Linked DNA regions of Oryctolagus cuniculus. The protein of the gene in region 2 binds, or shares a complex with, the protein of the main gene of each other region. Links are inferred from orthologs where the notes say so. Each region holds a gene or a part of one and is shown on either strand. Other genes may lie near its edges. The genes, in order: cyclin-dependent kinase inhibitor 2A and CDK6.

Evidence for each region.
Region 1: the proteins of CDK6 (region 2) and cyclin-dependent kinase inhibitor 2A are in contact, whole or in part, in a crystal structure (PDB 1BI7), measured with the Homo sapiens proteins. The link is inferred for Oryctolagus cuniculus from reciprocal best matches to the Homo sapiens genes CDK6 and CDKN2A. Residues at the interface, in NP_001138778.1 of Homo sapiens: Glu14, Cys15, Val16, Ala17, Glu18, Ile19, Phe28, Lys29, Arg31, Leu33, Asn35, Gly36, Gly37, Arg38, Phe39, Arg44, His100, Asp102, Gln103, Asp104, Thr106, Thr107, Asp110, Lys111, Gln149, Thr154, Ser155, Leu166, Ala167, Arg168; in NP_000068.1 of Homo sapiens: Thr18, Ala21, Arg22, Gly23, Arg24, Glu27, Asn42, Tyr44, Arg46, Gln50, Val51, Met52, Met53, Met54, Gly55, Ser56, Arg58, Asp74, Ala76, Thr77, Thr79, Asp84, Arg87, Glu88, Gly89, Phe90, Asp92, Asp108, Trp110, His123.

Annotation. Positions count from the first base shown.
Region 1 is NC_091432.1:185,035,001-185,038,090, reverse strand, and holds part of cyclin-dependent kinase inhibitor 2A, read left to right. Parts: intron 1-2,037; coding exon 2,038-2,332; intron 2,333-3,090. UniProt on the Homo sapiens protein: Acts as a negative regulator of the proliferation of normal cells by interacting strongly with CDK4 and CDK6. This inhibits their ability to interact with cyclins D and to phosphorylate the retinoblastoma protein.
Region 2 is NC_091447.1:43,169,198-43,173,016, reverse strand, and holds part of CDK6 (cyclin-dependent kinase 6), read right to left. Parts: intron 2,266-3,819; coding exon 2,130-2,265; intron 1-2,129. UniProt on the Homo sapiens protein: Serine/threonine-protein kinase involved in the control of the cell cycle and differentiation; promotes G1/S transition. Phosphorylates pRB/RB1 and NPM1.

The DNA.
Region 1 (3,090 bases), on a different chromosome or scaffold from region 2:
GTTGGGGAAGAACCTTTGGAGGTGGTGGAGATAATTTTGGCCATGGTGAGACTTTGTTGGAGGACGAGACTATGGTTGTGGAGGTGGCAGCGGCAGAGGAAGTTATAGAGGAGGTGACCATAGATATAATAGTTTTAGAGGTGATGGTAGCAACTAGGGCTATAGTCCTTGCTATGGTAGCAGAGGAGGCTATGATGGTAGTGGCCCAGGATATGGAAAGCAAGGTGGTGGATAGGGTGAAGGAGGAGGATATGATGGTTACAATGAAGGAGGAAATTTTGGAGGTTCTAACTATGGTGGTGGTGATTGCTACAATGATGTTCGAATTTAGAATGAACAACAGCAATCAAATTATGGACCCATGAAAGGGGGTGGTTCTTATGGTGGAAAGGTTATGGATTTGGTGGTTGAAGAGATGGATAAGATAGCAGAAGTTTCTAAAAATGCAGGGGGGAAAAAAAGCAGAAAATGGCTACAATTCTTAGCAGGGAAAGAACAAGCAAGGAGTTGTCAAAAAGTTCCAGGATTCTTTGAGACATTCATCCCAAGTGTGAAAATCTGCCACAGAAAAAATGATGATTCATAGTCCAAAAATGTTACTGCACCTTAAACAGGAAACCCTTCTTGTTCAGGATTGTCATAGATACAGTTTGCAAAAAAGTGCAGTTATTGATTAATGCAATGTAGTGTCAACTAGATGTACATTCCTGAAGTCTTTTATTTGTTGTAGTTTTGTCTTTTCACTACATCAGCTATATTGCCCTGTAAACTGTAGCAGTGGTACCAGGAGTGAAAAATTAAGGACGTTTTAACTTTAACAAAAGAAGTGTTTTCCTTTCCTACTGCTGTAACTAATCATCACAACCGGTGACTAAAGCAAAACCAAAATTATTATTTTATAGTCGTGGAGATGAAGATTCCAAGTTGGGTCCACAGGCATTGTGTGGGAAGCTCTAGGGAGGGATCTGTTTCTTTGCCTTTTCTACCTTCTAGTGGCTCTTGGCTTGAAGCCCCTGTGTCTTCTCTCTGACCTCTGCATCCATGCTTATTTCTTTTATGAGAATATTGTGATTTCATTGGGTCCACCTTGATAATTCAGGATACCCCTCAAGGTCCTTAATTTAAGTAGGGCAACTATAGATAATCATAATGTACTGTATGTTTCTCTAAAAAATAAAAGAGCATGAAATAAAGGATGTTTAATGTTTTCACCATAGAGAAATATTAAATGTATTTGGAGATACGTTTACATGGATCAGATATTACGCAGTGAATTCATGTATAGAAACATCATGCCACATAATACACAGTATTTTAATGTGTCAGTTAACATTAAGAACATCATCATATGGTGCCAAATAAATATGCACGATTAGGTGTCAGTTAAGTTTTAAAGAATTCCTTAATTTAATCATATCTGTGAAGTCTCTTTTGCCACATAAGGTAACATATTCACAGCTTCTAAGAATTGGGACCTTGACATTGTGAGGACCTTATGCCACTTACCACAGGAAATGAGTTTTAACACTCAAGGAAGATAAATAGGTATATTTATCTTATATATACTATAAATATATATAAATATATATTTTGTTACATAAATATAACAAAAGATTTTTTTCAGGAAGCATGGTGCTTTGTTGGCTTTTAAAAATTAACATGTCTTGGTTTGGATATATAGTAATGAACTAAGCAAAGTCTCCATGCCTTCACATGGTTTCATTTCCAAATGAGAGGGAAAATACAGGCAGTCAGACCACCGTAGTAAAAGGCAGTTTGTCCCTCACTGTTTTTCGCTTTGACTGTCTGATAGTGTTCTGCTTGTGGCCAGAGCTCCGCAAAAAGTTGGAGAATACGATGCAATCCAGTGTGTACTGAAAATGGGATGGGTGGGAGAACTGGAGAAGGGTGTTGGTGACTGGAAGCCAATGAACGACAATTATACACCGTGCCTGGCATTGGTGTCTGCCTAGGAAGGGATACTTCATAAAGTCCTGATCCATACACTAGCCCTGACCGCTCTTCCCTCTCGCGCAGGTCATGATGATGGGCAGCGCCCGCGTGGCCGAGCTGCTGCTGCTCCACGGCGCCGAGCCCAACTGCGCCGACCCCGCCACCCTCAGCCGACCGGTGCACGACGCCGCCCGGGAGGGCTTCTTGGACACGCTGGTGGCGCTGCACCGGGCCGGGGCGCGGCTGGACGTGCGCGACGCCGGGGGCCGCCTGCCCGTGGACCTGGCTGAGGAGCGGGGCCACCACGACGTCGCTCGGTACCTGCGCGCCGCCGAAGGCGGTAACCACGCCCGCGCAAGGGCCGTGGAAGGTACCGCAGGTGAGGACGGATGATGCCAGAATTCCAACACAGAGCTCCGGAAGCTCAGTGCGCTTGTTTTCAAGAAGGCAAAGTTGAGCACGGGAAAGCAGGGTCTGGGCTCTCAATGCGGCTCACAGAGCCTAAGGCCCGGGAAAACCCGAGTCTTGCCAACTCGCAGCCTAGTCAGAGCCGCAGTCTGCGGAATCTGGGTTCGTGAAAGCCCGTCCCACACCCCGTCCTGCCTCTGCCACCGCTCAAATCCCCCCCCAACCCCCACCCACGCAGCTCAAGGCTAAACAAGACCTTGGAGGCTAGAGGTCCAGCTAGCGCCCCGGCTTCCTCCTGCAGGCTAGCTAGTGAGCCGCATCCCCTCTCCCGGGTCTCAGGTTCGGCGTTCGCATAAATACATCACGGGACCAACCGCTGGATTTCCAAAACCGGTTCTGCAGGGTGTCTGCGTGAAATCCGTCATTCTCAGCTCAGTTGCAAGATTTTACTAAATGCGACCCTCCGCTTTATGCGGTGGAGAGGTGCAGCTTTCCACAACTCCGCAAGGCAATTTTAGGGCCTGTGGGATGGCGACGTCCAAATCTGCACATTCGGATTTGCTGCACACTATGGGAGGGAGACGGAGCTCTCCTCTTGCCCCTGTTTTTTGCTTAAGCTTTCAGTTTTTTGAGAGACCAATGAATGAGAGAAATGGGCCTGGGGGAGGATTTTTTTTAAAATCAAAATAGATATGAGAAGCGATGTACGACAGCAACACTAATATTTAA
Region 2 (3,819 bases):
TCCAGGCCCAAGCCAGGAGCTCAAAACTCTACCCAGGTCTCCTATGTGTATGGCAGGAACCCAACTACTTGGGCCATCATCAGCTAGGAGTTGATAGGACTTGAATCGGTCCCTTGATACAAGATGCCAGAGTTTCAAGTGGTGTACCACTGTACCACAATGCTGGCACCTAGTTAGTAATTTTTATTTATTTGAGAGAGAGCGAGAGCGAGTGAGCAAGAGAGCGAGAAAGCAAGAGAGAATAAGAGTGAGAGAGAAAAGGGGGTAAGAGACAACATCCATCTGCTAGTTCACTTCCTAAATGCCTACAACAGTCAGAGCTAGGCCAGGCCTGAACCAGGAGCCAGGAACTCCATCCAGGTTTCCTCTATGGGTTCCAGAGACAGCCATGATCTGCTGCCTCCAAGGTGCACTCCTGGGAGCTGGATGGGAAGTGGAGGCGGACGTGATTCCAGGCACTGCAACAGGGGACGCAGGCAGCCCATGATAAGGCTTAACTGGCTGCACCACAACACCTACCCTGGGGCAACATGCTGGAGCCTGAGTTCTGTCTTTCCAGAATCTAAGAAATAGAAAATCAGGCAGTGCTGTTAGAAAAGGCAGGACACAGCAAAGAGAGAAGAATCGTGGGATGTGATCCGGACACAGGGAGGTGTTCCTGGAGGGTTGCCTGCAAGCCCTTTCCCCACAGCCCCTCTGAGGGCTGGGTGCAGGGAAGAGGGTGGAGAGAGGGAGGACTCCAGCCAGCTGGGAAGCCCTGCTGCACTTTGTCCTATGGAGATACTGTTAGCAAAGGCAGTGACCTCCTATTGCTGCTCTGCTTGAGGAAGAAGGAGGCTCTTTAAATTGTGTAGTAATATTGTTCAATTTAATTTACTTCCCAGTTTCTTAACTGACTTATAAAATGAGCTTTTGGGGAGGGGGGGGAGCTGATGCTGTGGCTCAGCGGATTAACGCGCTGGCCTGAAGCGCCGGCATCCCATATGAGTGCCGGTTTGAGTCCCATCTGCTCCTCTTTTGATCCAGCTCTCTGCTGTGGCCTGGGAAAGCAGTGAAAGATGGCCCAAGTCCTTGGGCCCCTGCACCCACGTGGGAGACCTGGAAGAAGCTCCTGGCTCCTGGCTTCGGATTGGCACAGCTCTGGCCATTGCGGTCATTTGGGGAGTGAGCCTGCAGAATGGAATACCTCTCTCTGTCTCTCCTCTCTCTGTGTAACTCTTTCAAATAAATGAAATAATTCTTTAAAAAATGAGCTTTTGGAATCATATGTGAGTCAAGAGTTGACTATTAGGATAGATTGAGTGCGTAACTTTTTTTGTAACCACATATTCTCCTTCTTCTCTCCCCTCCCCCTCCATGCATGTGTATGTACACATACGCATTCTTTCCTCCATTCAGGTTGGCCCTGGCCAATGGGACGTGGACAGAGGCAGGGTGCTTCTTCCCAGGCCTTGGCTCTCAGGGGCATCCCGTGCTTCTGCTTGCCCTGCTGGCTGCCTCTACCTTCCGAGTCTGATCTCCGTCCTGGGCCCCAGAATGGGACACGCGGAGAAGACGGCACTTGACCCACAGGCTGACGCAGGCATCAAAACCTGCTGATGACTGCTTACCGGGCTCCAGGCACCAAGAGCAGCCCGGCAGGTGAGCTCCTCCACCTACTGTTCTGACCTCCAGCTATAGGAAATCACTTAATAAACACTTCAATCACTGATAAGCATACTCGGTAGTTCCTTTGGAAAATCATTTTCCTAAGCATGTGACTATTTAAGGAAAGGCACCCCAAATGACTCCCAAATTGCTAAAGGTAGCACGAAACTGTAAACCAGGAGACATCAAAGGACGCGGGACTTTGGTAAAGAAGCACATATCCAAGTGAGCCCACAGCCTTAGAAAGGCCGCTCCCAAACACAAGTTCAAAGGCGGTGGCTTTCAAGAGTGTGGATTGGAAAGATGTCCCGGGATCGACAGCCACTAGTAGCTCCAGGTGCGGGAAGGGAACTTATAGGGGGACTGCAGCCCTGGGCTCTTGTGGCGATGCAGGTGATGGCTGCAGCAGTCGCTGCACGGGTCCTCCTGCTGCCACACAGCCTGGACAGGGCAGGCGTCTTATCAGCACAGGGCGAACTTACCAGAAGCAGGTCTTTGCCTAGTTCATCGATATCTGTTACGAACTTCTCAATCGGCTGGGCAGATTTGGAATGAAACGCTTGCCTGGGAAGGGCAACATCTCTGGGCCAGTCCTCTTCTCCTGGGAGTCCAATGACGCTAGGAAAGAACCACAGGTGCACGTGAGCACTGGGCACTGCCAAAGCTCTTCCCTCAGGGAATGCTAGAGGACAGCCGGCTCTGAGGGCCAGGCAGGAGGGCGCAGGAGCCCAGGAAACCTTCACGTGGTGAGCCAGGCTCTCTCCTTCGCCTCTGTCCTACTGCAACAGGGCAGGTCACATGCTACCGGGGAAGCTCCCAGGACTGTTAACTCCACTGGGCAGTGACGAGAGATTATTTTCGCAGCTGACACCAGATGTAAAAGATGATGGAGAAATGGAAGAGTGCATTACTTGTGTGTAGGCCTCAACACGGGACTTACTATGTTCAGAGGAGACCTGCCGGGGTGTGTGTGTGTGTGTGTGTGTGTGTGTGTGTGGCTTTATGCCCAGGAGTGTTGCATCCTGATGGGACACTCCAGCCCTGACATGCTTCTATGATGCTCATTCAACACGGCTTATCAACACATCGACTGGGTTGCATTTCTGACCAAAGAGTGCTTCTCCACAGAGTAACTACATATATTAGAATCCAACAACAAAAATGAGGCTAAAAGATACATTAGTCTTAGGCACAGATTATTTTATAAGGGAAAGTATATGGCATTCTGAAAAACAAATTAAAAAGACTACTATTCATGTTCCCCCTGAAAACTTTTCTGGGATCAGAAAGCTGCAGAGAACAGCAAGTGAAAGACAACACAGATTTTGGAAATAGGCAGATGTGGGTTGCATTCTTACTGGCAGGTAAGGACACATGCCTTAGCACCTATGATTCTTAGTATCTTTATGACAATGGCAACAACTGATGGCTGTTATGAGGATCAGCGATAATTTACATAAGCTGCATAGCACAGTTTCCAACACAGTCAATATCCATTCATTATCCATTATGATCACAATCAGAAAATCATCCTGTTAATCCAAAATGCAGAGGAAGTATATCACCACTACACTGAAAACATGAACTGCTTCAATTCTGCTTATGTGTAACTTCAGGTTCTTCGGACACATTAGTAAGCTGGTGGCCCTGCACAATGTATACAATACATAGACATGATTTAAAATGGATACATGGCTGGGTAAGTGGGTTTGAGCAAGGAAAATCAGGTGATGCAAGAATCTGTATCTCAGACTCCGGATAACTCTGAATAAAAGAAAAATTCAGTGTGGTGGACAAGAGGCACAGCTAGTCCAACGCTGGAGGAGACTTCTCGGAACCGTGGGAAAGCAAGGGTGCTGGCGTACGGCACATTCTTCTCCTTGGACGGCACTCACGAGGACTGAGGGCCTGGAGAGAGTGCTGTCCTGAACGTAGTTCCAGGTTTCAGGAGGTCCTGGTGCAACTGTCACGGGGTTTCCACAGCTCTGTTTCCCGTTCCTTTACCCCCAGAGAGCCCAGGTCAGACTTCACTCGGGAACAGCAGATGCCTCTGTCCTAAGTGCACCTGTCACTGGGGGCTGGGGCAGGACACTGCGACTGTGCCTCTGCCGGGCATCCTGAGGGCCGCATTGTCCAGACAAAGACTCGTGCACACTGTCACTGGAATCAACG